Cricetulus griseus: one gene and its partners. The protein of the gene in region 1 interacts with the protein of each later gene in a pairwise test. Links are inferred from orthologs where the notes say so. Each region holds a gene or a part of one and is shown on either strand. Other genes may lie near its edges.

Region 1 (4,215 bases):
GGCTTATGCGTTGATAAAAGAACAGTATTATAACTATTTTCTATGTTACTTTATCCTCTAGTAAGTCAAAATGTTTACACAAGAGTATCAGATGACTTGATCTTCAGTTGAATGTTCACTGAAAAAGGCGATAGATGGCTTGGAGTTAAACTTACCTATGATCTAATCGATGTTAACTCAGAGATTGAACATATAGATTTTATTTTCAAAGTGTACCAAGACAACTGATGCTTGCCTGTGATGGCCTATCAATGGAAACATTCTTTCTACGTTGGTCCCCATGATAGTATCCTTGCTAATGATCATACTTCCCGTTCTTGTCAAGCGTTACTACACCCCCGGTTGACACAAATTTCTATTCTGTTTGCTTGTTTCTATGTTCTAAAATGAGATTCACAACATGAAAACAAGCTTCCCTTTGCTGTGTGGTTATTTTCCATCGGTAAATGTGATGGAAACGACTGTTAGTCAATTTTAAGTCGGTTTTTATGAAAATAACTTAAGGATGTAAATTTTTTAGTCCTACTCTCCATTTCTGCAACTAAAAATAACTGTGGCCCAACAAAAACTCCTTCGAGTGCATAAATAATCTTTAGGGCATTGATTCAGCTAAGAAGCTGGCCATGGTTTCCCCTTGCAGAAAGAAAAAGTGCTTCTGGCTCTTGCTGTGGTAGCTACCAACCTGCTGAGGCCATCCAAGCACTCCAGTTCATAAATGCCCAGCCTGGGGAACCCCAGTGCATTCTAACGTTTTCACTGGTATCTTTTCAATAGCTTAGAATTTCCTATGTAGTTAAAGATAACCACTGCAAATCAATGACAGTGCTGGTAAATTGCTTAGACACAGCTAATCATTGTGGAGCATTAAAAAGTCATCCCCGACCTAGGAAAATAAAAGTTCAACCATCAGGTTGGTAAGGGTCACCCCACAAGGAGGCCAAGAAAAGTTTCTGTCATTTTTCAACATGATTTAAAATACACAGCAGTTACTGCCATACACTGCAGAACACCTGGACTAAATTGCCTAACATGCTACATTCTTTTCCATTATTTCCAATGCCCAGATTCACATTTCCTAAATCTCCATAGACTAACACAAAAGATTAAATAGATGCAAACTTTTTTTTTTTTTAGTTAAGTGACATCTTCCAAAGTATGTACCCAGGTTGCCATGTTCCTTCAGAGCAAGATGCAATTAAAAAGGAGGAGGAGGAGGGGATGAAGAAGGAGAAGAAAAAGAGAAACATCTTAATAATGAGAACTATAGCTAAGGGCGTTATGTGCTGTCTAGAAACTCAGTTTCTCTGAACTGCCACAATGCACTTGCTACTGAACTTTCAGGCCCTGGAAACCACTGGGGAGAAACCTTTGCTTTAGCTGCTCAAGTAATCCACACTTTCGCTGTTCACTCTGCTGCATCTTCTCCCACCACTGTCCGAGCTGCTCTTGTGCTCTCCGGAGCATCTCAAAACTCTACTCAAACAAGGAAGGCTTTTACTTTCCACTTTCGAAGTTCAGGGATTTTTTTGTTTGTTTTGTTTTTGTTTGTTTTTTTCCCATAGGATAGCCTCACCTGAGTCTAATCAAGAATGACCTTTCTTCAAATCCTCATCCATTTATTTATTCACGATTTTTAGATGTATTTCTTGAATACTTCTAGATTTCTAGATAGTGCCTTTTTCGGCAAATAAGTTAAATGCTTTTTAAAATTATTACTATTTTAAGTAGAATGCTATTTACGGAACTCTGAAAGCGAAACGTTAAAAAAAGAAAAAAATAAAACTTTTCTTTCGAGTATTTTGTCAAATCCCAGTTAAAGTTCAAGATATTGAGCAATAGTCTAGAAATCCAGTTAAGGATGGGAAAACTCGAGCTGTTCAGAATTGGGAAATTGTAAGGGAAAAACCAAGAAGCGCATGCATGCACACAGGCATGAACGCCCAGCCGATGCAACATCCCAAGGCTCACACCCCTCCCAACTCGTGGATGGAGCGCCATGCTCCTTAACCGATTTCGCATACTGTCACTCGCTCTTTTTTCACCGCCGCTGGAAAACTAGTTTATGGTCTTGTAGGGCTTTGAAGGGGCTGGACGTAGATATATTAACCTCAGCGAAACACGTGCTCCCAAATTACAGGGCCGAAGCTGCAAGGACGAATTCGGCCAGGCCACTGAGACTGGAAGAGCTAGGTATTCCTTAGTTTGTCTGTGAGAACCTTCTCGCAAATCCCTGCCCCTTCCCAGCCCAGGGAACACTCTCCTTAGAGGTGCTCTGCCCGCACTCACCTGAGCTGTCGCTTTTCCTCTTGCTGCCACTTCTCTTTTCTACATCCGCGGGTGACAGCGCTTGGCGGCCATAGTCCCCTGGTGCGCACGCGGCCCCGGTCGGGGTGCTGGAACCCAGACTGGATGAGTTGGAACACAGGACCGGAGGGCTGTTCCCCAGCTCCGGAGGCCCTCCCGAGTCGGGCTGCAGGCACAGGCTGTGCCGAGCCGCGCTAGGCGGGGAGGACATCTGCGGGAGGTGCCAGTTGCTCTGCAGAGCCTGGTGCTGCTGCTGCTGGTGGTGGTGATGGTGGTGATGGTGGTGGTGGTGGTGCCCCCTGTGATGCTGGCTGGCAAACATGCTCTCCTCGTTGGGGTATCCCGCGATTATGCAAGACGAGGAAGATGTGGAGAGTTCGGGGTAGGACATGTGGTCAGATCTTCCATGGAGGGCCAGAGAAGACTGCGAGAAAGGGTGCAAGCCTTGTGCTGTGGCGTGCGGGCTGCGCAGGCAGCCAAAGAGGGGGTGTTCCATGGCATGCAAGTCTGGACTTCCAGGCAGAAGACTTCACGATGGTCCCAAAGGCCACCAAGCTCTGTGACTTTTCACTGGAAATCCTAGAACTCTTTTTTCCCCCCACACTCACACACTCCCTAAGAGTCGCGCCTTTGAGCAGAGCTGGCTAATCCCAGTCCAGAGCCTTAGCGGCCAGTCTCCTGCACATATAAACACTGGGACCTGGAGGAGCTTCCCTCGCAGCTGCTCAGATGTCAAATGTGGGAGAGGTGGAAGCCAAAAGAAGGTGGTCCCAGAGAACTGCTTTCACGGGGGGGAAATGGCTCAGAGAGGTTATAAATAGAGTGTAATGTGAGCTGGGGGCTGGCTTAGGAGCCCAGAGCTGACCACATGCAAACTCTCTCCAAAACTCCCGCTCACTCAGCGCCACCATGCTCTCTCATTTCCAGTTCCCAACTGCTGGCAGGACAGGAGCGGCTGCTCCACGCCCGCCCGGCCCTGGGAGCTTCCACGACAGCCAGTGGAGAGTCCAGAGCCTTAATAAGCAGGGCCACCTCGATCTGTCCCATAGGCTCCCAATGGCCAGGCGCGCACCCACTCTCAGTCTCGCTAAGCCAGCACCAAGTGTCCCGTCCCGAGTCTCTTTCAGCTCTTGGTGGGGGTAGGGGTGGGAGTCACCTGCAGGAGCTCCGGAACTGCTCCCTGACCTTGCGGACCAGGAGAACTTATGAGAATTCAAGAGAAGGGAAAAGGCTAGAGCAGTCTAGCTTTTCAAACTCCGATACTCGCAGTTCCCGCGCCCGGGAGCGCAACATGGTTTTCCCCTTTCAGTTGTCTGAGGATAGGTTGTTAAAGATAAAATAAAATAAAATAAAATAAAATAAAACTGATGCCAGGTTGGAAGTTTCAGGGCTGTGCCCCAATGATAGCATAAAGCTGTTCTAAGTGCGGAAAAGAAAGGTACCTGGTTGAGTGAGGGATGGAAAGCTTGAAGCAGAGATGGACTCAATTTCTGATGCCCTGGCATCACACAAGTGCTGCTCCAACTTGTGTCTCTTTCCTCCTTTTTCAGACCCTCCTCCCACCTCTCTTTACTAGTCCAGCTCGCTCAATTTCCTAACCATTAGCTCACCGAAAGTTTTCCTAGGTCAGTGATAATCTGAAGCAATGTCAAATGAAATGTGCTCCCAGTTTAACTCTTTAGGAGCCAATCGACAGCCCCCTCTAATCCTTCCGGACAAACATTGTCTTTTTCTGTCTGAGGTGCTCTTTTCACCCTTTCTGTTTCTCACCGCTTGTCTGTTGTAAGCAGACACCACACTGAACACTCTCCAGTTCTCTCTGCTAGGACTGTTCAGTTCCCCCAGTTTACAGTCTCCTCCTGGAAAAGAACTACACAACTTGCCACTGGTGGATTTTGGAGAGCTGGGGAT
Region 2 (3,500 bases), on another chromosome or scaffold:
GCTCACTAGACACCATATAAAAGTTAAATACATCAAGCAGGCCATGTACCTGTAGCCCTAACACATAGAAGGCAGAGGCAGGATGACCAGGGGTTCACAGTCACCCTTTATCCAATGAGTTTGAAGCCAGCCTAGGCAACATGAGATCCTCTCCAAATTCAAACCCCAAACAAAAAAAATTACATGCATCAAATAAATGTTCCACCTAGTCACATATACAGATGGGGATCTTGAACCAAACACTACAGACCGAACAGGTCACACTTCCTGAAGCAACAGATAATTTGTCTTAAAGAAAAGCAAAAAAGGCACCATTTATGTTTCAAAATTAAAAGGATCTCATGGAGTCAGATTAAAATGGATCTTAAGTTTATCAAAATGTGTAGCAAAGTATAAGGTGTTTACCTTTGTCTTCTAAATATACCATCGACATATTAAAATATCTCGTATTACTCATTTAAAAAGCAAAAGGAAGGAAGGGAGGAAAGGAAGGAGGGAAAGAAAAAGAAAAAACAAATCTCAAAAACAAAAAGGCTAGATCCAAAAGGTAAAGGCCATCAATCCTGTGGGTCACATAACAGCAAAAACAACCTAATGAGCTAGGCAGCCACCCAAACAATGGCAATTTCTCAATAGTGGAAGGCAGTGAGAGGGCCCAAACTAAGACGACAGCAAATGCAACTGTGAATCCAAGGCCACCAGAGATAGATTCTTTGTGACCTAGAGACAATCTGGCAAGAATTATGGGGGTAAAATCCCATCTTAAAGAAAGTAGGGCCAGCAAAAAAAGCCCCAGCCACACAAGCTCAATGACCCACTTAAAGGTGGGAGAAACCTGACTCCAGTGTTCTCCTCTGACCCCTATATACTCGTTGTAGTACCTGCACTTCCCCGGCTCAGCACGTAAATAATAAAAAACTTTTAAAGAAATGTAAATATTTCTAATGTTATAATAAATAATGTATAAGTAATTCTAATGTAAAGGCATCATGTCCATTCTATCAATAAAATATATTAGCTCAAATTTTTCTAACTTTATAATGGAAATCAAGTAATAAATTAAATGTGGTTTCTTTCATTTCCTTGCCATTATTTGCCAACAAAATTAAATGTTTTCATAGAAAAACATTAAAGTCACCTTGATGAACTAGTTCTCCTACCCCCAGGCCCACTTTTGGTTTTCCAGGCTGGCCTTTAACTACTATGTATTCACAATCTTCCTGTCTCAGCCTCTTGAGTGCAAGGATTTTTGTTTGTTTGTTTTTTTGTTTTAAGACAGGGTTTCTCTTTAGCTTTGGAGCCTGTCCTGGAACGAGCCTGTCCTGGAACTTGCTCTGTAGACCAGGCTGCCTCCCCAGTGCTAGGATTAAAGGTGTGAGCCACCACCACCTGGCTGAGTGCTGGGATTTCATATGTGAGTTACCACACATGGATGAATACTACTTCAATTTCATATGTGTAAATACATATGAATGTAATATGTATGTAAATGTACATATAATATGAATGTAAATATATATATTGAAGATAACAAAAACAAAGGTGCCATGTTGGGCATGACCACATAGGCCTAGAGCATTTGGGAAGCAGAGGCAGGCAGATCTCTTAGTTCAAGGCTAGCCTGATCTACATAGTGAGTTCCAGGCCAGTCAAGTCTACAGAGTTAGACAATGTCTTTAAGAAAACAACTTTTAATTGGCATTATTTTGGCATATCTATAACCAACATCTTAGAATCTTTTCATTCTAAGCAGTGAAAATCAAGTCCTTGGATTATTTTTCCTAATCACAGAGTCAGTTGTATATTCATCATAGAAAACCTATAAAGTAAAAAATTAAAATGAGTTCCCCATTATCTTACTGTAACCATTTATTTTCTCCATGGGACTCGCATACTAATAATGCTAGTCAATCCTTACTGACAACCGCTACTATGAGTTGGATTTGAAGTATCCTTCCAAAAGCTTATTTGTAGGAACTAGAGAGGACTCAGTGGCTGGAAACACTGACTGCCCTACAGAGAACCAGGGTTCAATTCCCAGCACTCACATGGACACTCAAGTAGCTGTAACTCTAGTTCCATGGAATCTGATGCCCTTTTCTAATCTCTATAGGCACCAGGGATACATGTGGCATATATAATACATACAGCCAAAACACTCACATACATAAAATAAAAATTTAAAAAGTAAATGGAGAGCTTTGGGTATAGCTGAATCAATGCTACACTTGCTTGGGAGATCCTGTACACTGAAAGGTGATTTGGATCATAAGGAATTCAACCTAATCAATGGATTAAACCACTCATGGTTTCTTAATATGATGGCCTTTTGGAAGGTGTTTCAAATGTCTAGAGATGGACCTAGTGAAATGGGTAGGGCTCTGTTCTCAGGGGCTACATTCATCTTGTTCCAATCCCCTTCTTCCCTCTCTGATGCCTGGTAACTGTAAGGCGAGCAGCTCTGCTCTGTCACCATGACATTTTTGCTTGGACAGGCAGAGAAGTGATAGAGCTAGCATAGCCATGAGTCAAAGTATATATTTCCTCCTTTTAAAGTGTTCTCTTGTATATTTGAAATAGCATTGAAGCTGACAGAATTTCCCATACACTGTATGGCTAGGAGCTTTATAAATAAGATTTCATTATATCCTCACAATAATTCTACTCAAATCATAGGTGAATATTATCATTTTACAGTCGTATCAGCCAGATTTAAAGAGGATAAGAAATATGTCACAGACACGGAGGTAAGTGGTAGAGATGAGCCCAGCATCCTTGAACACTGGACCACTCTAGTCCATATTAATATACACACAGACATAATGCTGCATTTTTCTTTGAGCTTAATTTCCTAAGGCACAAAAATTATGAATAGTTTCTACATAGCTATCTTATAACATTTGGTTCGATGATAATTTACTTAATTAATCTTGCTTTACCAGATCAGATATATCTTTGTATAATATTCAGAACGTGTGGTTCATTCAACAGAAAAAAAGGTAAAATTAAGACTTGTTTCACACTTCTAAAGTAAATTAAAAGATGCACTTCAACTTACTCTTTTACTGAGGCAAATAACTGGCCACATACTGCAGCCTAATGTGCAGCAGCAACACAGGCAGCCACAAAGCAACCACCGCACATTTACAGGAAGATTCTTCCTAAGACAGCTGTTAACTCTGTTGATGCTGGCTTTAAATTCCTCAGGAGCTACCTAAAAGAAGGGAAAAAATGCAACTGAGATGATAAATGCTGATAAATGGGTCTTAGTGCACATTTTTCTAATTTCTAAGGAAAACTAATTTGAGACATATAGACGGTAGATCAGTAAGAGAGACACTCGCCGGGCAGTGGTAGTGTGCACATTTAATTCCAGCGCTTGGGAGGCAAAAGTAGGCGATCTCTGAGCTCGAGGCCAGCCTGGGCTACAGAGAGTTTCAGGACAGCCAGGAAACCCTGTCTCAAAAACAAAACAAAACAAAACAGAAAGAGGTACTCAC
Region 3 (3,500 bases), on another chromosome or scaffold:
AGAAAAAGTCACACTTTTTTATAAAGCTTTCATTTTTCATTTTTATAATTACATTTTTCTTGTATGTATTGGGGGCGAGTTCAAGTGTCTTTGTGAGGTCAGAGAACAATTTGCATCAACCAGTTTTCTCCTTCCATCATATGGGTCCTAAGAAGGAACTCAGGTCATCAGGCTTGGCAGCAAGAGCTTTTACCTACTGAACCATTTTGCTGACCTCCCAAAACTTAACATTTCCAAAAGATTAATGTCCTTCTTACTTATGAATGAGTCACACAGCACCAGCTCATTTGTGGTCCTAGAAAGGCCCATGAGGAAAAATGGGTCTCACGTGATTTTGAAATAGGTAAGAGTCTTAAGTACAGCTTTTAAAAAATTAATTGATTTTGGGTTTTCAAGGCAAGGAGTGTGTAGCGCTAGCTGTCCTGGAACTCACTCTGTAGACAGGGTAGCCTTAAATTCAGAGATCCACCTGCCTTTGCTTCCTGAGTGCTGATGAGATCTAAAAAGGCTTTTTGCACATTTATTTATTATATTATTATATTATTAGTATGTACATGTGCACACCATGTATGGAGGTCAGAGGATAACTTGAATGCCAAGGATTCTCAGCTGCTAAGCTTCCTCGTTTTTGAGACAGTGTCTTATTTTATACCCTAGAAGGTCTGCATATCCCAAGTTCTAGGATAGATGTAGACCATCATACTTGGCTTTACAACACCCTTTTTAAAGGTCACATGGGGGACTACAGAAATAGCTCAGTTGGTAAGGTGAGGACCCAAATTTAGATCCTCAGCACCATGTTAAAAAGCCAGACCCAGTGTATGGAGTGTCTGTAATTCCAGCATGGGGTGGGGGGTAGATGAAGACAGGAGGCTCTCTGAGACTAGTCACCAGCCCAATCTAACTGTTGAATCCCCAAGCACAACACTCAAGGTTGTTTTCTGTCCTATACCTACACACACACACACACACACACACACACACACACACACACACACACACACACACACACACACACACACGCAGGAGTTGCATGGAGCCACTTCTCTAGGGAGTGCTGATCTGCAGGTGGTACAACAGGAAAGAGGGAAATGCTTAGAAGTGAAGCTTCCCCACTCAGGAATAGCCAGGTCAGGACAATGAATGAAGGACCATGAAGAAGGGATGGCTGCTTCTGAGCCAGCAGGGGGCAACTAGAATTCTTACAGCTACCACTCACTGTGGTCTGTGCTCTCACCTGGACAGCTTCTTCAGTTCATTATTGATGTCATGGTTGCAGGGCTGCTCCTTCTGAGCTCTCACTAGAAAATCCCGGGCCTGCTCATACTCAGTTAGAAGGAGACAAGCCTGTGAGGAAGGGACAGGGCATTAGATTGAGATTAGAATTTGTGCTAGTGGCCAAGTGAGACCTATCGCTCTGTGTGGGAGTGCATAAGTGCACATGTGGATGGAGACCAGAGGTCAACCTCGCTTCCTTCTAGGGAGCAGCCCACTTGATTTTTAAGACAAGATCTTCCTCTAGGCTCCAATGCTCCCAATTCATCTAGGTTGACTGGCCAGTGAACTCCAGGGTCTACCTGTTTCTGCCTCCTCAGTGTGGGGCTCTAGCACCCTGGGCTCTGGAGAATGAGCTCAGGCTACCAGACTGGCATGCCTGGTAAGTGCTTTATTGACTGAGTTATTGCCTCAGCCCCTCTCCCCACTTCCTTCTCATTTATCTTCAACTCACCTGTCCACACCTGAAGAGGGCCTTGGCATTCCTTTGGTCAATGAGCAGAGCCTGCTCCCCATAACGCAGGGCCATGGCTGGTCGGTCTAGCTTCAGGTACACAAAAGACAGGTTAAGGAGGACTAGAAGCTCAGCAGGCTCCACCAGGTGCTGCTCCTTACAGATTGCCAAGCGTCGGTGAAGCAGCAGCAAGGCCTGAGGAGAGGAGGAAAGGCAAAGGGTCAGGAGGGATCCTTACAAGTCACACAGAAAAACTGACCTAAGAAAGAAATCCATCTAGCTCTCAGGACACAAGGTTAATATAGTAAAGTCAGGAGGCTTCTTTTTCAGAGTTATTTTTATTATTTTAAATTAAAATTATGTGTATATGGGATGGGATAGGATTGTGCATGTGAGTACAGTGACTGTGGATGCCAAAAGAGGGTGTTGGATCTTCCTGGAACTGGAGTTACATGTAATCCTGCACCTCCTAATGTGGATGCAATACATGCTTCTGACGACTGAACCACCTCTCTGGTCCAGTTTGAAGTTTCTAACAGGAGAAGGCATGCAAACCTGAGTGAGACAGACAATATGTATCTTCTACTCTTTTGTCTCAAAAGGAATATGGACAGTGTACTCAACAGGAGCCAAAGACAAGCTGGCACCCACATCAGGTGGCCCACATCTGTCTGTAAGTCCAGCTATAGGGGGAATCCCATGCTTCTGGCCTCTGTTAGCAACAGGGCTCTCATATGCACATACCGCCCCCCCAGAAACATAGACACTAAATGTATATATGTGCACATATATACACACACATGTGAGTGCGTGCGTGCGTTTTTGAGAAAAGGTCTGTTTAGCCCTGACTGTCCTGGAACTCACTCTGTAGACCAGGCTGGCCTCAAACTCAGAGATCTGCCTGCCTCTGCCTTCTGGGCTTAAAGGTGTAAGCCATCATACCTGGCTTCTTTTGATGTAAAAATTTTATGTATGGATGTTTTGCCTGTATGTATGTGTCCACATGTGTGCCTAGTACCCAGTGATCAGAAGAAGGAATCATATTTCCTGGAACTGAATTTATGAGTTATAGATGGCTGTGAGCCACTATATGGGTGCTGTGACTTGAACTTGGGTCCTCTGTAAGAGCAGAAGTGCTCTAAATTACTGAACCATCCCTTCAGCACCTCATCGCTGCTTTTTTTGAGACAGGGTTTCTCTATATAGCCCTGGTTATCCTGTAACTCACTCAATATGCAGAACAGGCTGGCGTTGAACTCACAAAAATCTGCCTGCTTCTGCTTCCCAAATACTGGGACTAAGATATATACCACCATGCCAGAGATAAGGTCTCATGTAGCCCAGGATGGCCCTCAAACTCACTATGTAGCAAAGGATAACCTTCAATTTCTTGTTTTTAATTATGTGTATGCATGCGTATCTGTGTGCTTGTCTGTGGGTATATGCACATGAATGCAGTGCCCGTGAAGAACAGAGATAATAGATCCCTTGGAGCTGGAGTTGCAGGCAGTTGTGAGCTGTCTGATATGAGTGCTGGGAACAGAACTCAGATCCTCTGTACTCTTAACCGCTGAGCTATGTCTCCAGCCCCAGCTTCAACCTCTGGTCCTCCTGTCTCCATCCTGGGATTTTATCTGGTTTATGCAGTTCTGGGGATGAAACCCAGGGTTTCATGCATGTCAATTCCACCAAGTTGAATCCCTAGCCCAGGAGGTGTGTTTTCTAGAGAAATTAAATAAACAAAGACTGCTGACTCTGGAATGGGCAGATG
Region 4 (4,023 bases), on another chromosome or scaffold:
AACCAAATGGAGAAAAACTAGGTAATAATAAAAGACTGGAGACCTGAATAAGGAGTGTAACAAGGGGAATTTAGGATTGGTGGCGTATCTCCAGATCCCAGTAATGGAGACTTACATACAGGCTTCCATATCAGTGATTCATTCAAATGTTCAACTTTCTATGTGAATTAATTCCAGTAACATTGCCTACTCTCTCTCATCTCTATTAAATATGCTTGATACCACTATGGGTAGCAGAAATAACAACAAACAGAGGTATTTATTCAAATGCAACTTTCACTCCAAGAAAAGAAATACAAAACTAATTAATGTTATAAGATATGATAAGTCCTATAAAGAAAAATAAGACCATGTGGGTATATTCTCATTAACACTAACATGAGCCCTCGAGAACTGCTAATAATGAGTCTCAGGGACCAGATGCTCACTACTATATGTTTTTGGTTTGAGAAACATGATTGGATGAGTACAAAGTACAGAACACACGCACACACATACAGTACTCTTCAAATTGAAGGAGCTATGTGGAAAGGTATTATTAGTCAAGGAAGAAAGAAGAAAACAAAACAAGAAACCCCAGCAAAGTTCTCTGCATGATGCCTAAGGTGAATCTCCCCACACATCAAGTCCTAAAGACTACAGCAGTAGACAGTCCTCCCATCAATCAGGGGCAATAGGCCTCCTTTGACTCAAGACACAATGTACCTGGAGCTTGTGACTTTAACCCCCCCCCCCTTCTTCTTTTAAAATTCTACTTATATAGCCCAGGCTGGTCTTGAAGTCACTATGAAACCCAGGCAATTTTATACCTCCTCCTCCTTTTTTTTTTTTTTTTTTTATTTGAAACAGGGTCTCACTGTATAATTTATGGCTGTCCTGGAACTCACTATGCAGACCAGAGATTTGCCAGCCTCTACCCACAGAGTACTGGGATTAAAGGCATGTCCATCATAGATGGCTTAAACTTTTAACTCTTAATTCTCCTGTCTCAGCCTTTTGAGTAGACATGGGCCATCTGATTCAACCATTCTACAACTTTATGTCCAAATACATAAGTATTTGTTACCATGGTTACTGGCTAGATTTAGAAGCAGCACCTAGTAAAGTTACAAATGTAAGCCTAGGAAACACCCGTGGGCCCTGACATGTTATATTTGTAAACTGTGTGGCCTTGAGCAGTCTCTTGGCCTGTGAGAAATCTTCCAATTGCTTGTCTGTAAAATGAGAATGGCTGTATCTATCTCAGGGTTGCTGTGCATCTGGAACAAGCATATTACAAAACAAAACAAAAACAAAAACAAACAAACAAACAAAAAACACACTAAGGTAGTACCCAACAAAACAGACTTGTAGGCGATAAGTGGAACTGTTCCAGAAGTAAACATCTGTAACATTAGATCACATCTCTAGTCCTGTATTGGATCACTGTTCTAGTCCTGTATATGCCCTGTTATCATGAGGAGTATTGGATCACATCTCTAGTCCTGTATATGGCTTGTTATCATTTGGAGTAATGGATCACAGTTCTAGTCCTGTATGTGGCCCTGTTTACTGTTTGACTACCATGTTGGCAATTACCTAGATCTGCTTATTTTCATACCTAATAAAAATAATTTTCACACTGTGCTACACTCTATGTCTTCCTCTCCCTTGTTCACCAGCCCTTCAATCAGGACGGTTCCCAGAACAGGAGCCACACCTCTGGCACCTTGTCACCCTGTCTCCCTACCCACGGTAAAGTCACAAGAAATAGTGAATTTCTATGACTGTCTTGATCCCAACCCAGCTGTAATATTTTGTTAATCAGGATAGAAACTCAGTGAAAGGTAAAGTCATTTTTACATTAGAACTTGAACATCTAAATTAACTTTCAGCTTAAATGCTCACCTCATTTTTGTATGTGTTAAAAATGCCAGCTTTTTCATGCCCTGAGAATGCTTTAAGTTTTTTTTCCTTTCAGTTAACATACAATGACTGCATGTATTTATGAAGCACAATGTGATATTTCAATACATTGTAGTTAGATCTGAAAAAAGAAACAACCTATCTATCCCTCAAATAAGTGTCATGTCTTTGACAACATTCAAAATATTCTCTAGTAACTACTTTAAAACATGCAATTGACTGTTACCTTACTAGGTTACAAGAATAGTTATCTTACTAAGCAAAAAAAAAAAAAAAAAAAAGTCATTCCTCCTATCCAGCTGCATTTCTGCAAGCATTAGCCATCACCTCCCTATCCTGGTCCCCTGGCCCCAAAGCCTGACAACCGTTCACCTCCTTTCCACACTGCGATCCACGTTTTCGTTTCAGTCTGTAGGCATTTTCTAACTACTATAACAAGTAGATACTATCTCATTCTGAAAAGCCTCTACTCTGTAAAGAGCAGTGTCTTTCTACGCAAGCTTTGAGCTCACAATCCTCCTGCCTCGGTCTCCCTGGAGTTGGGATTACGGCATAAGCTTGTCTGTTTTCTACGCAAGCCCTCCAACAATTATCTACGGAGACCCAGCAAACACCACCAGGCGCCGCAGTGTCCGCCCGGGAGGGAACCGGGCTCCCCTCCCCGCCGGTGCCCCGCAGCCCCGGGCCCGCGGTCTCTCACCTCCCGGTCGCCACTCTTCGCGGGCTTGCGGTGCACTGCGAACCCAAACAGGACCTGCTCGTAGCTGCCAGCGACCAGCTCCATTCAGCAACGCACGTGCGGCGCAGGGCGAGCCGGCGTAGAAGCCCGAGGAGAGGAGGCCGGCTCTTTTAGCTTCGGCGCGCACATTACGCGTCATCACCCAGGGGCACCTTTTAGGCGCCTGCGTCTGTAGCGAGTGAGGGCACGCTCGAAGGTCACGTGGCCCTTCTACGTGGAGCTGGAGGAACGAAGCCGCAGGCAGGGGCGCTCACAGCAGAGAGGAAAACGTGGTGGCAAACAGGCAGATCCTGAAAAGCCGTGAGCAGGGCGGGCCTTGGGAAGTGGGCGGGAAATACTCCGCGAATGCCCCAATTTCCGATGGGTCTATGGAAGGGGCGGGCCGGCTTCCGGCTTCCGGTTTCCTCGGCGTTTGCACGCACGGGTTCCCGCTGTGTCTCCCGGGCGGGTTCCCTCCTTGAACCTGCGTTCCTCCCGCAGCTCCCGTGGCTCGGATTCCAAAGCCAAGGGTTCCGCTGTTGTGCAGAGAGCATTTGGGGGACCTTTCTGTGTCGGGGTCGGCACGGTGACGGTCCGGGCTCCCGGGCGCCGCCGGAGCTGGCGGTGTCCCCTCGCTGGACCGAGGGCCCGGCCCGCAGGCCAGACCGTGCCGTGCTCAGCCCTTCTTGCCAGCAGGGTTCTGGGATCTAAACGCTAGTGAGCTGCGGGCCATGCTGGGCACGAGATGAAAGATTGCCTGGAGGGAGGAGGACGGGAACGTTCAAAGTGGAAGACTTAGGTTTGCTCCAGGGTACACCTCCACCAGGGTTAGGAGGCTTAGAGCAGAGGGTAACGAAAGCAATGACAGCCTTTTTAAAATTTTTTTAACATTGAGGATTCCTTAAGTTTTAGACAGGGTCAGGAACTTTTTGGTTTTTCGAGACAGGGTTTCTCTGTGTAGCTCTGGAGACCAGGCTGACCTCGAACTCACAGAGATCCACCTGTCTCTGCCTCCCGAGTGCAGAGATTAATGGCATGTGCCACCAACGCCCGGCCAGGGATGTTTTAAAAATGAGTTTTCCCGAGAACCTCAGAGGTTTAGAGCATACGCCATTGCGGGTGGGTTAGTTGGTGCTTATGCCTGGTCGTCTTCACACAAGCCTGTGAACGAATAAAGTCCCTAAGTGCTTAGACTTTATTTCTTTGAGACACTTGTTCTCCAAGGCTACAAATTATCTACATAGTTAACCGGTAAAGTTTTGAGTATGGGGAAATGATCTTTGAATTGTGAGGAGAAGTTCTGTGTTCTTCCAGTTTGGACTACTCTACTGACAAACCCGCACACAGTCCAGTCGAAACCCCTGTGTTAACTAATTTCTGTGTCTTCAGTTAGTGCTAAT
Region 5 (4,274 bases), on another chromosome or scaffold:
TGACCCACGGGTAATGAAATCCTAACTTGAACAGCTTGAAAATAAGATTTATGATGAGTGTAGTTATCTGCAGAAATAGAAACTTTAATTAATGTGAAAATTTTATAGATAGACAAGAAAGTTTAATTAAAAAATTTGTGTTGTTGGGGTTCCAACCTGGGCCTTGCACATGCTAGGCAAGTGCTCTGACACTCAGCTATGTCCCTAGCCCTTAGAGAGAAAAATGTAACCAGTTGAAGGTTAGGTTTAAAAACAACAACAACAAAAGAATAAATAATGCCAGAATGAGCATTTACTCAATCAACTTAAAGACTCTTTTAACAGGAAAAACTAGAAAGAAGTGTTTCACTCATTTCCCATTAGGGAAAAACAGAGCACAGGAGGTTGGAAGCTCATAATATGTATTTTTAGATGTTAGGTTTGGTTCAAAGTAGGACGAAAAGAATTATTTTATTTAGTAGGAAGTGCTGATTTTTAGCTGAATTTGCTATCTTGTGGCTGTGATGACTGAGTGACTGTCACTGGAAGACATCTGGGTTTTTGTATCAAGGCCAGACTTGGCTATTACATTAACAAGAAAATTAAAACTTACTGTTGCAGGAGCTGGGGTGGGAGGTGGGGCATAAGATGGTCTTTCTGTTTGAAAGAAAATAAATAACTTCTTGTAAACAACTGAGATATAATACTATGCAACAAAACTACCAATGGTCCTGTTTTGAAGAAAAAAAAATGAGAGTATTTTGGAATTCCCATTCGCTAGGGCATTAGTCTTGTATTAACACAGATTGATAAATATAAAAATTGAAACTTACTTGACATTTTGGAAGATTAAGTTCTCAGTTCCTTAAGAATGAATCTGAGACACTAAAATAAAAAAAAAGAAAAAAAAGAAAAAAAAAGAGAATCAAAACTCAGCAAGCATAAGAGAATGTTTTCCTAAAGAATAGGGTAGTTTGATTGGTATTTCTGAGCAAAATTACTTCACTGTTAATCACTAGTAATCAAGCCTTTTGCATATTTTTTAACTAGTTCTTGTAGTCATTTGATTGATCAGAATTAAATGATGAAAATAAGTTACTGGGAAATTTAGAGTTATATTAGAGATGGATTTTTAGGTTTTTGCTTATGATATTGAGCCACGTCTTATATGGAAAACATTTTGCTGATGCCATGCAAACGTTTACTTAGACTGGTAAAAAAAAATAATGACAATAGAATGTGATGTATTATCAGGGTGACCCCAACAAGGCCTACCAGATACTGACAAATTCCTGATCAGCAGCTCTGCTTCTTTTAGGGGACACTGTTTATTGACGCAGAGCAATGTCCTATTCCTGGAAGTAGTGTGAAAGATAATCTGGTATAAAAACAAACTTTACATTGTCTTTTATTGGTAAATAGTTTTGTAAGTACTGGGGCAAATTTTTAGTCTACTTGGATGACTCGTATTGGTCCTTTACAGCCCATTTAAAAAATTATCCCAGGTATTTTCCTGATAAATTATCTGGGCAGAATAATTGCATCTTCTCTGTATCAGATAGGGATATGGCTAGGTTTTGTCTTGAAAGAGAGGAGGGATTGTCTAATTTATTACTGTATTGCTCAAACCTAGCCCAATTCTTCATAAATTTGGTCCTAGTGTTACCAGCTCACAACATGGACAGATGTGAGCTCGATCCTTACTCTACATACACCACAAATGGTGATGAAAAAACTATGACTTCTGGAGCACTTTCATCCAACACTATGTAAAACAAAATACTTTTTTTTTTCTTCTTCTACTTTTCAATTTAAGAAAATGCCTCAAATCATCAGGGTAAGAGTTCTGATGTGGAAGCAGCTTAGGTTTTCAACCCAGGCCTCTCTTTTCCTTCCATCAACACCTAGTAGGCCTTGCAGTGGGGAGCCCCGACAGAAACTGTAACAATGTCCGTGCTACCTTACACTTCACTGCGAATATGTTCAAATGATTGCTCTCCTGGGCTAAGATAATATAAACTCTTAAGAGTGGATCTAACCCTTGTGCCTAGCACGGAACTCAGTATTTGCTGAATAATTAATTACCTTACAAGGTAGGCTTATGACACAGTCTCGCTCACTACTCACAACCACCCTACCAGATACATACGGCTGTCCCCATTTTACAAATGAAGAAACAGTCTCAGGGCGATGAAGATAAAATGTCTAAAGCCAGAGGTGGATTTAAACCCAACCCACACCGTCCCGGAGTTCACTCCTCACTCCGGGCCACCCCGGGAATCATCAGGTCGCTGCCTGAACCAAAAAGGGGAACCACCTTCCTTCCAGGTGGGTGAGGAACCCCGCTGGCCTTGCCCGGAGGGCTTCCGGAGGTCCAAGGAGTTTGTGGCCCAGGATGAGCTTTTCTGGCAACCCCCCCGCAGGAGGGTGTGCATCGGGGCTCGGCCGGCGTCGGGGGTCCGGCGGAAAGGGACAAGCGGCGCCTCGGAGCAGCTGTCCCGGACGGGGCTTCTTTGCGACCCCGCCGCCGCTAGGCCTCACAGAGGCCGCACGGGCCCTAGTTCCCGCCTCGGAGCTGAGCCCGATCCCCAGCACCCCGCGGGAACTCGGGGTCCCGCCAAGCCGACACACCGGCGCTCGCCACCCTCCCCGACCGGGCTGGGCCCACTTGGAAACACTCACCCGCGGGCCGAAAAGGCGCCCGCAGCTCCGGCTTCGCTTCCCTTTGTCCCGCGCTCGCCCCGCCCCTCGCGCCGGAGCTTCCGCGCTCGCACTTTCCACACGCTCCGGGATTTCTCCGCGGGCCGCGGCCGGCTCTCCTCAGGCGATCGGGTCTTCCAGGGAGGACTCGGCGAGGCTTAGTGCAGCCGAGGATTTTTTTTTCCAGGCTCCACACTCTCCTCAGAACTCTTCCAGTTTGGGTCCCGTCCCAGCCGGGCGCCGATTCGTCACGGCGAGGAGGGCGGAGTAGGCCCGGCCGCGTTGCTTCAGCTGCTGGTTCGCGGCCGGGCGGCAGCCACTGCGCCGCGAGCGCGGCGGGGATTCCGTCTCCGAGGCGGTGGTGCCGCCGTGTGAGACCCGCGCCGGGCGAAGGCGCGCCGGAGCCTCTCGCGGGAGAGGGCGGGACGCAGCTCCCGCACCCCGGCGTCTCCCTTCGCCGTGGTCCTCACTACGCCGCTGCAGGATGGAGGAGGGTGGAGGCGGGGAGCACTCGGGTCGCCGCGATTAGGTCCTCGCCGGCGCCCAGCAGGGCTCCCTGCCTCTTCAGCCTCAGCGAAAAGCAACACGGGAGTTTTGTAGTTTTCCAGATGCTTCTAGAGGCTGAGTGATGGCGACGGGTTTCTGAGCTTAGGGCCCGCAGCTGGCAGCTCACTCTCACCAGGTCGCATACCTATGACAATTTACATTTCTTTCCAGGAGAACCAATTCAGCTTAGCCTGGCTTCAGACAGCCAAGCTCAACTGTTTCTTTATGATGCCCTCCTGGAACTTTCCCAGGCCAGTCCTTTCTTTGTAGTCCTGTGTCTTGAGATCCTCTGTATGGGACTCGGCCATCTGTTAATTTTGGAAAGTCTTGGGAACTAAGGTTCAGACATCTGGACGGGACCGTTTTATAATTACCCTTTGGTTTCTAAGGGCCAGGCTGGTAATTAGGTGCTCAGTAAGTGTGTGTAGAGGCACCTTTCTGGACCATTCCAAGGGCCTTTTTTTTTTTTTTTTTTTTTTCTAATTCCAAGCACTTAGGCGGACTATAGGAAGTATAGAAACACTTAGCTGAGGTGAGTCTGGGTGGAGGAAAAATGAACAGATGACCTGTGGTTATCTAAGGACAAAGTTATCACTTAGAGAAACTGGCTGAATACTGGGACTACCTGTTTTCCCTTATCCTGGTTGTGACAACAGGAAATGAGGTATCTTTAGAAGAAGTCTGTAGTGTCAGGGGTAAGTGATAATACTGTCCCGTTCTTCCGTGGCTCAGCATTTTCATACTCATGAGCAGAAATGAACGAGATGAGAGAGCACATTGAAAGACTAAAGGAGAGTTTTCAGATGAGTGGTCACAGCAGGGGTCCAGGATCTTTAGCTCTGCTCAGCAACTCCAGCCTTGCTACTTCCCTGCTTTGGCGATTGTGGGGGTGGAGTGATAGAAAAGGGGATGTGTGGGGGAGGAACCGTGTGTGGTGATATTTTGTTTGTGCTCCACCAAATAAAGCTTGCCTGAAGATCAGAGGGTGGAGCTAGCCACTAGTTAACCATAGAGGCCAGGCAGGCGTGGTGGTACACACCTTTAATCCC
Region 6 (4,159 bases), on another chromosome or scaffold:
TCTGACGGCCTTCCAGAGGCGGTGGCTGAATCACCACTAGGGAAGTGTGGCTGCCATGCTGACTTGGGGGATCCATGTGGAGTGATCTCCGGTTCCGGCAGTCAGCAGAAACCTGGCATGCATCGGAAATCCTAAAGAAGAGTGAGAGAGAAAATAAATGAGAAAGCATTTTGGGGAGGGGGGCGCCTGTAAGTAACAAATTGCCCAAACCACCTGGCAATGATCGCCTCCATCGGCTGATTTCAATGATGCAGAATCCTGGCAGGAGTCCAACTCCAAAAACAAGGATTGTGGAGGGCCACATCACAGGAAGAAAGCAAGCAAGACCTCATGCCACAAAAATTAGAAGTTGCTCTCCAGCTTCTAAAAAGCAGAGGAAGTCATGTCTTCCTGTTTGCAAACCTAACAAATAATTAAAATGAAATATGCCTTCGAAGGGAGCATTCAGTGCGCGCCCTGGAACTGTTCTCAGAGAGTTCACTATCAGTTCACTGGCAGTTCACGTAAGGAAAATGTCAGCTACTTTTTAAAGATTAAGAATGGCTTTAGTGCTGTGGCCTCTTGGCCATTTGTTCGCTGTTAAGAGCTTTAGATTAATGAGAAAATTAATCAAGGCAATTTCCAAAACACTGGATATTCCAAGCTCACGTGAATCTCAATAGGCCGTTTTGGGCACAAGTCCGGATCTAAAGCTCATCTGTGAGATGAGAAAAAGAATCTACAAGGAATGGAGAAGGCAGCGGCTCTAGCTGTCTTGCTGGCGCTAGAGCATGCACACAAACTCTGGATAGAAGGTTCTTTAAAGGTTAAACAAGGCTCACTCACCAACATGAATAACTTCTATGCACAAGTGTCAAACCTACAGAGCAGGGAGAGGAGCCCTAGTCTCTGCATTATCTTTATTTCCTTTCATTCATCTACACCACAGACCTTGATTTTCAACAAGCCCTGAATCGAGCTGCTTTTTGTAATAAGGTAAACACACTAATATCTCGTCACAACAAACACGTTTTCACGTCAAGAAATAATTTACAATTTATAATGCATTCGTCCTAAAACAGAGCAAAAGTTGACTTTCCCGTTTCCGGGCAGTAGGTATCTAGGATATTTTTCACACAAATGCTCTCCAAACCCACAGATGCACCCTAATTCAAGACGGCACTTGAATTAGGTGCCAAAAGAAAACAAAACGTCTCAAGGAAAAGCAGTTTGCTACGGATGCTCCTAGACTACATGTTTAGCTTCTTGGGGGCCCCTCTAGTTTATTCTACCTTCCCCAAACACGAGAAACACATCTGTAACAGCACGTCTTAGTACCGAACCCCTAAATGACAATGGGAAACAGCCAGTCGTTACTCCCGTGCCCTATCTATTTTAAAAAACTTAAAACTCCAAAACGAAGACTTTAAATGTGCCAAGTTTCATCCACAAGAAAGGAAGACGTGGGAATGGCTTGAGTAATGAAACCCCCAGGCATAGCTTTAATTCGCATTTTACAGGGCATTCCCAAGCAAGTTCGCTCTGGCGGAGCACCTCGGCGCCCGCACCCGCCCGGAGAGCAGCCGGGTGCGCGCGGACAATTCTGTGAGCCCGCACATAGGCCTCAGGGACACCGAGCCGCAGCGGCTCGGGCTGGGGAAAGTTATGAATGAAAACAGCTCGCGGGCGGGAGGAGGCAGCGCCCTCTCCCCGCGTCGCGAGGCACTGCGCTCCGAGCATAGGCGGCCGCTGGCTCCCCAGCGCCATCGGGTGCCGCGCGCTTGGCACGGGCTGCGCGACGACCGCCAGGATCGCCCGGCCCGCCCCGGCCCGCACCTGCCGCCCGCACTCACCTCGGCCTCCGCGGCGCCGGCCCGGGGCGCCGAACGGGCGGGATGCGCGCCGCATCAAGCGCGGCGGGGCGGCCGGGCGCTCATAGCCCGCGCTGCGGCCTCGGCGGCCCCGGGGCAGGGGCGCTTCTCCGCGGTTGGCGGCGGCCGAGGGCGGCTCCGGGACATCCGCCGGGTGCGCGCGGCGCCCGCTCCACAGCACCGTCCCGTCCCGGTCGTCAGGCGCGCGGCCCGGCGTCGTCCCGGGCGCTCGGGTCCCCGCAGGTCCGCGTCCCCGCAGTCGCCACGCCGGCTGCAGACGAGCAGAGACAGAAACACGTGAGTCCCTCGCCAGCCCGGGACGCTGTCCTCCTCGCGGTGATGGGCAGCCACGAGCCCGGGACACACGCGGCCGTGCACGTTTTGCCCCCACGGAATGCCCTGCAGTGAAAAGCGCGTCCGAACGGCGCGTCTGCTCGCGGCAAGCCCGCACTCGGGGACTGCAAAGTCAGGTCTGGCACGAGCGCCCGGCGGCTCGGTCGCCAACAATGCGCACAGACACGCGGGTGCGCGGCGATGCCAGCCCGCGTCCGCACACGCGGAACTCGCTGCCCGGCTACGGGAAAGCGAAAGGAGCCAGCTCTCCAGCTGCAGGGCCGGGCGCCCAGCGCGGGGCACCAAGCTAGAGCCAGATCCGAAAACGTCCGGTCCTTGAAAAAAAAAAAAAAAAAAAAAAAAGCACCATTCTCACCTGATCTCGCCAGGTCCTGGGCGGGAGGGCAAGGCTCTTGCCTAGTGCAGAGCCCGGGGCCGGCCTTCCCGGCACATGCACGTCGCGCGCAGCTGCTTCTTAGCCCGCAGAGCTCTGGCTGCGGGGCCGCCGCAAACTCCTGCGTGCTGAGCACTCGCGCGCGGGCTCCGCAGCATTTCAGCGTCGCCGCCACCTCCACCTCCACGCTGGGACCCGCCCCCGGTGATATCATGTGTCAATCACGCGGGCTGAGCCAAAACCCGGAGCAGGATTTTAGCGATCGTGGATGTGGACTCGAGGACGCTCCGAAAAAACTGCCTCTGAGCTCAACTGGGCAGCAACACATGTTCCAGGGCCCCTGATAGTCAGTGAGCTGTCAGCCTCCGATTTAAGGAAACCGATGCGTTCACCCTTATGAGTTAGAAAAGAGTTGTGAAGAACAGTAGGCAAAAACAAAACAACAACAACAACAAAAACACTTGTACACCTCTCCACCGTGCCCCAGGGAAAATGTGTGCTGATACAGTATGAAAGTTCCCGAAAGGACAGTCACTTTTGCAAATGTAATATAATGATCCACAGCAGGAAATCCCTCCTGCTGTGGGATTTTAGTGATTGTTCCGTTTCGGTTTATGGTATGATCCCAAAAATTACTCGGAAAAAAAAAAAAAAAACAAACCCAAGTAAGTCCTTGCTATTTTGTAATGTTTGTATAATTTTGTCAAAAAAACACAAACTTTTTTTTAATCAACAAAAAGCAAGTAAAATAAGAATAACTCATGAAGAAGCTTTAGTTTTAGTTACATGTCTGTCACAGGGTAGGGGGACTCTAGTAAGTGGGGAATGCTTTTTGTTTCCTTACAAACTCTGGGATTTTGGACATTTATTATTGGGATGATGTAGCTCAGGACAAAGTGAAAAGAACTATATGTGGAACTAAAAATTCCATAGAGGGTTTTTAAAATAACCTAAGACCCCAAAAATTGTTAATAGGAAATATTTTCCCAGGGAACTGTATCAGGAATAGTTTTGATAAACAACAGATCTCCAGGGTCTAAATCATCCATCAATGTGAGTTTGGATGTTTTGGGCTCAAAGTAGTTTTTTAAAGTGTTAACAATAACAGCAGGTTTTTTTTTTAAAAGCTTTTTGTTGATGTTGGTTTTTGCATACTTCATTTTCAAGTATCTAAATGCTTTTAGAACTCACAGTTGTGTGTGGAATTGCATGGGAGACATCCAGGACACTCCTGCAAAGAACATCCTCCATAAGAAAGGCCACTAGAGGATAATAGAACATTCTAGAAGCCAGGAAGCTAGCTGTCTGTTCACCTTCATGCTAGGAAATGTGTTAAAGTCATAGTTTCAAATGTAAAGCTGGTGGGGCTTTTGTATCTTGTCTATTTTCCCACAGAGGTAGCAATGTAATAAGGCCTGACAGCTGTGGATCTGTTTCTTAGGACTGGATTGGAAGGGTCCAATCGCTAATGCAGTATCATACCAGAGTATCTTTTTTGGCACTTCTCAGTTGTCTGCATAAATTTAGCAGGGAGGTCAGTGATAAAACGAGGACAGGGAGCAATGAACAGCTTTAATTACTC
Region 7 (4,138 bases), on another chromosome or scaffold:
ACCTTGAACTCCTGACCCCTCCTGTTCTACCTACCAAGTGCTATGCTACCACACTGGCCTTTTCTGTTAATTTGCAGGGAAGTTGAGACAGGTTCTCATTATGTATCCCAGACTGACCTTGAATGTCTCTGTCTCCCCAAGTGCTGGGATTATAGGCATATATCTCCATATGTAGCTTCATTTGTTCATTTGTGCCAGTATCTTTCGGTGTATCCCTGGCTTGCCTGGGCCATTTCCTCTTTTTCTTCCAATTAGAGTCTAATTCTGTTGCCCAAGCTAGCCAGGAACTCTCAGACATTCTTTTGTAGCAGCCTCTTGAGTGGATTACAAGCCACTATCCACCGCCATTTACTCTTTACTCCACATAGTACCCAGAAAGTTACCTGCAATCAATTTCTCAGACCCTTTCTCGGGTATCTCTGACAGTGTGAGGCAGTGCTCAGGAAGTTATTAGCTTTTTTGACTCATTATCATTTCCCTCTGTTCCTGGGGCTAACGCCTTATCAGGCAGGACTACTGTGAGAATCAAAATGTCTGTGCATTGCTTGGTGCCCTGAAGGCTTGTCCTCTGGAGGGAAGTTTCTCCACTCCACTTCCTCTTCTTTTTTGTTTATTAAGACACTGCTCTCACTATGTAGCCTTGGCTACCCTGGAACACACTATGTAGACCACGGTGGCCACGAATGCAAAGACACCCGCTTGCCTATGCCTCCTCTGTGTTGGGATTAAATGCGTGCCCTACCACTCCTGACTTGGAGGAAACTTTTTAAATAAAAAGAAGTGTGTGTGTGTGTGTGTGTGTGTGTGTGTGTGTGTGTGTGTGTGTGTGTATGTTTGCCCTCACCACGTGCGTGCCTGGTGCCCACAAAGGGCAGAAGAGGGCGTCAGATTCCCTGGATTGAAGTCACTGACCGTGCACATGGGTGCTTGGACTGGAACCCGGGCCTTCTGGAAAAGCAGCAGTCTCTGCAGATCCGATGAAACTTTCTTAAAGTTCACCTTCTCTAAATTCTCGGTCAGGCACCACAATGCTCCTGGTTGCTAGGAAAACCACGGAACTCTGGCCTGTCTAAGATAAAGTCCTACAGACCCCAGCCTCAGGGCGGCTCCTGGGGAGTGACCCATGCTGGCCTTTCAGCTGCATAAGTAGGCGCTCCTCGTTTGACTGACAGGGGAGGCCGCTAATACTCACCCAGAGTAGTCCCCTTGAGCGTGCTTGGGGGCGTGCTGCCTCTGCTCCGGTCTGCCCAATCCGGGGAGCGGAAGGGGTTGGAGGGCGGGGCCTTGATCCCGGCAGCCAATGGGAAGAACACAGCGGGCGCGGCGGGGGCGGCGCGGTCTTGGCTGGCGGCAGAAGCTGCCGCGGCGGGTCTGGGCAGGGCCGGGCAGTGAGCTCGGCTGGAGCGGAACGGGAAGGGGTCGGAGTCGCAGCCTGGCCGGGCGGCGTTCATAGCGGGACCCGAGGCCAGCGGCGGTCGAGGTGAGGGGTGCGCCGCGACGGTTGAGACGCGGGTCGGTGGCCGCGCCTACCCCTGTCAGGCCGCGCCGGGGCCGAGCTCGCGGGGGCGCGCCGCTCGAAACTTCTAGTCCGCGCGCAAGGGGCCACGCACCGGCGGTAGGAGCGGGGGAGGCCCCAGGGGCGGCCGGAGCGGGCCGGACCCATGCGGGCGTACTCCTGGGGTGCTTTGCGGACTCCCATTTCCGTCCTTCCCACGCTTGGTGTCTTCGGTGGTGAGTGCCAAGCCTGCCTGGTGAACATGACCTAGGGGTGTGTGGAGAGACAGGAAAGGCTGGATGCTGTCCTTTTGACTTTCATAGTTTTCTAGACACGTTGGATCCGAAGTGTCAACTGCCTCTCTCCTCCAGTGGGGCTCAAAAGCCGCGTTCTTCTCTCCCTAAAGACTCCAGGCTTGCGGAGGCCCCCCTCTCAGACGGTCGGCTTTTCTTTCTTCAGGACTGGATCAGAGGGGCTGGCAGGGGACCTCATGGCCTTAGAGATTAGACCTGGAAGTAGGCACGCCCCAGCGATGCTGCGTTCTTGTTGGGTCCTCAAGGGAAGATGACTTTGGTCCGGGGTTTGCACACCATTCCTGGCTCTTGCCGTCTTTCCTTGACCGCAGCTGCCCTGGGGTTTTGTGATTAAGGGGAGTAGGTTGCTGACGGTCTCCAGGGCTACTCATTACGATGTTTAACAAACACTCCTGCTCTGTTCTGATGTAAATCTATTTAATCCTGAATGGTAGATGTGAGCTCACATCTTCCTCTCCCACTGCAGGTTTTTCAGTTTGCTTAAGTTCTGTTCTTGTGCCCCTAGGCTTGACAGCTTGGAGCCCTTCGCAAAGGGATCATCCAGGTGGGCAGTGTTCTGTGTTAGACCCCCTTTTCCGTCGTAGGGTATTTGAGCACTGAATGAGTGCCAGTCTAGTTGGGATTCTTTTTGATTTACTTGGAACACTTTTGGTTTGTACATTTACATTTAACTGTAGAGTTTGGCAGTCTCCTGGTGAAGCTATCCTGAGCCATGAGGCCATTACATGAAAAACTTGTGTGATGTGTGTTTTTTCCCCTGTGGTCTGGAGACTTTAAAGAAACTGACCATTAGGCTGATGGGTACTTATTACGTGGGAAAGTAACTGAGCACAAAGGAGTAGAAAGAAGACTGATTAGATGTCTTCTGTCTGTGCAGGATTTTTTTTTCCCCCTTCAAGACCGGGTTTCTCAGTAGCCCTGGCTGTCCTGGAACTCCCATCTATTGACCAGGTGGCCTCAAACTGGCAGAGACCTGCCTGCCTCTGCCTCTGGAGTGCTGAGGCTAAAGGCTTGTGTCACCAGCGCCCCGCAACTGTGCAGGATTTTTAAAGAATAACTATTCGTTGGAATAGAAATGGTATTTTAGTTCATGTTGTTTTGAAAGCTAGAACTTGTTACTTCTGAACACAGTAATTAATCCAAAAGTGTGTGCATGCAAGATATAACATCTGTTAGAGGCTTTTGCTTGGTCCAGAGTGCCAGCACGGATTTCTGATGGCCCCGCATTTCGGGATGTTATGGAATATCAAATAATAGCAGTAAATTACTAACTGGCACCTTGTGAAGTATACCCAAGTGCTCTCTGGCCAAGCTCACCTGAAACCCAGGTGACTGACTCTGGCCTGCCTTATCTACATCCCATTGTATTTGGCTTCCTGGAGGCCACCCTTTAGATTATGTAGGTAATTATCATGTTCACAAGAGCTGTAGTGCCTGCCCAGTTTTTTTCCAGTTGTTTGGAACCACAGCTGCATACCTGAAGGCAGCAGAGGGAGGCAGGGCTTCAGTTGATTTGCCTGCTAGGGGCAGAGTCCTTTATGGCCTCTGCATATATCCTACTCACTCCTGAAAGTAGGCCTGAGAGCAAGGTCTAAGTGGGCCTTAACTTGTTCCTCCTGATGGCTCTGGCATGGGGATGGCTGTTTGAGAGTTTTTTTTTTCTTTCCGATTTTTAATATTCAGATGGTTGTGCTGACTAAAGACCATCTTAAAAGAATAGGTTACCAAGGCCTTGCCGGGGGTGGTTCAGTCAGTAAAGCACATAATGTGCAAACATAAAGGACACCTGAGTTCAAATCCCCAGCAAAAAAATAAGACCAGGGCAGGGAGATGGCTCAGTGGCTAAGAGCATTCACTCTTACAGAGGACCTGGGTTTAATTCTCAGCATCCACATGGTACCATAACCATCTGTAACTCCAATCTCAGGCGCTCCTACACCCTCTTCTGACCTCTGACGGCATCAGGAATGTACATGTTGCACATACATACATGTAAGCAAGCATTCATACTCATAAAATTAAGAAATCCTGCTGGGCAGTGGTGGCACATGCCTTTAATCCCGGCACTGGGAGGCAGAGGCAGGCAGATATAGTGAGTTTGAGGCCAGCCTGGTCTACAAAGCAAATGCCAGGACAGCCAGGACTGTTACAAAGAGAAACACTGTCTCGAAAAGCAAAAAAAAAAAAAAAAAAAGCAAAAAAAAAAAAAGAAATCTTAAAAAAAAGTGGTGCCTGACATCAATCTCTGACCTGCACTTACACACACACACACACACACACACACACACACACACACACACACACACACACACGGCACTTGCCTTTGGGA

What was found.
Region 2: the proteins of Meox2 (region 1) and cysteine-rich hydrophobic domain-containing protein 2 interact in binary tests that used the Homo sapiens proteins (3 or more experiments, as listed by UniProt). The two-hybrid records come from large-scale screens. The link is inferred for Cricetulus griseus from reciprocal best matches to the Homo sapiens genes MEOX2 and CHIC2.
Region 3: the proteins of Meox2 (region 1) and Fkbp6 interact in binary tests that used the Homo sapiens proteins (3 or more experiments, as listed by UniProt). The two-hybrid records come from large-scale screens. The link is inferred for Cricetulus griseus from reciprocal best matches to the Homo sapiens genes MEOX2 and FKBP6.
Region 4: the proteins of Meox2 (region 1) and Pak1ip1 interact in a two-hybrid assay, tested with the Homo sapiens proteins (2 studies listed by BioGRID). The two-hybrid records come from large-scale screens. The link is inferred for Cricetulus griseus from reciprocal best matches to the Homo sapiens genes MEOX2 and PAK1IP1.
Region 5: the proteins of Meox2 (region 1) and SWI/SNF-related matrix-associated actin-dependent regulator of chromatin subfamily E member 1 interact in binary tests that used the Homo sapiens proteins (3 or more experiments, as listed by UniProt). The two-hybrid records come from large-scale screens. The link is inferred for Cricetulus griseus from reciprocal best matches to the Homo sapiens genes MEOX2 and SMARCE1.
Region 6: the proteins of Meox2 (region 1) and Spry1 interact in binary tests that used the Homo sapiens proteins (3 or more experiments, as listed by UniProt). The two-hybrid records come from large-scale screens. The link is inferred for Cricetulus griseus from reciprocal best matches to the Homo sapiens genes MEOX2 and SPRY1.
Region 7: the proteins of Meox2 (region 1) and Pacsin2 interact in binary tests that used the Homo sapiens proteins (3 or more experiments, as listed by UniProt). The two-hybrid records come from large-scale screens. The link is inferred for Cricetulus griseus from reciprocal best matches to the Homo sapiens genes MEOX2 and PACSIN2.

Annotation. Positions count from the first base shown.
Region 1 is NC_048598.1:164,594,808-164,599,022, forward strand, and holds the start of Meox2 (homeobox protein MOX-2), read right to left. Parts: upstream 2,801-4,215; coding exon 2,287-2,800; intron 1-2,286. UniProt on the Homo sapiens protein: Mesodermal transcription factor that plays a key role in somitogenesis and somitogenesis and limb muscle differentiation. Required during limb development for normal appendicular muscle formation and for the normal regulation of myogenic genes.
Region 2 is NW_023276807.1:141,527,611-141,531,110, forward strand, and holds part of cysteine-rich hydrophobic domain-containing protein 2, read right to left. Parts: intron 3,215-3,500; coding exon 3,059-3,214; intron 1-3,058.
Region 3 is NC_048597.1:114,392,199-114,395,698, forward strand, and holds part of Fkbp6 (inactive peptidyl-prolyl cis-trans isomerase FKBP6), read right to left. Parts: intron 1,925-3,500; coding exon 1,730-1,924; intron 1,348-1,729; coding exon 1,238-1,347; intron 1-1,237. UniProt on the Homo sapiens protein: Has an essential role in spermatogenesis. It is required to repress transposable elements and prevent their mobilization, which is essential for the germline integrity.
Region 4 is NC_048596.1:260,643,183-260,647,205, reverse strand, and holds the start of Pak1ip1 (p21-activated protein kinase-interacting protein 1), read right to left. Parts: upstream 2,801-4,023; 5' UTR 2,690-2,800; coding exon 2,606-2,689; intron 1-2,605. UniProt on the Homo sapiens protein: Negatively regulates the PAK1 kinase. PAK1 is a member of the PAK kinase family, which has been shown to play a positive role in the regulation of signaling pathways involving MAPK8 and RELA.
Region 5 is NC_048600.1:113,343,731-113,348,004, reverse strand, and holds the start of SWI/SNF-related matrix-associated actin-dependent regulator of chromatin subfamily E member 1, read right to left. Parts: upstream 2,801-4,274; 5' UTR 2,662-2,800; intron 865-2,661; 5' UTR 820-864; coding exon 813-819; intron 637-812; coding exon 593-636; intron 1-592. UniProt on the Homo sapiens protein: Involved in transcriptional activation and repression of select genes by chromatin remodeling (alteration of DNA-nucleosome topology).
Region 6 is NW_023276806.1:112,081,566-112,085,724, forward strand, and holds the start of Spry1 (protein sprouty homolog 1), read right to left. Parts: upstream 2,801-4,159; 5' UTR 2,560-2,800; intron 1,943-2,559; exon of another isoform or gene 1,833-1,942; intron 132-1,832; 5' UTR 77-131; coding exon 1-76. UniProt on the Homo sapiens protein: Inhibits fibroblast growth factor (FGF)-induced retinal lens fiber differentiation, probably by inhibiting FGF-mediated phosphorylation of ERK1/2. Inhibits TGFB-induced epithelial-to-mesenchymal transition in lens epithelial cells.
Region 7 is NC_048595.1:380,363,478-380,367,615, reverse strand, and holds the start of Pacsin2 (protein kinase C and casein kinase substrate in neurons protein 2), read left to right. Parts: upstream 1-1,338; 5' UTR 1,339-1,480; intron 1,481-1,599; exon of another isoform or gene 1,600-1,731; intron 1,732-4,138.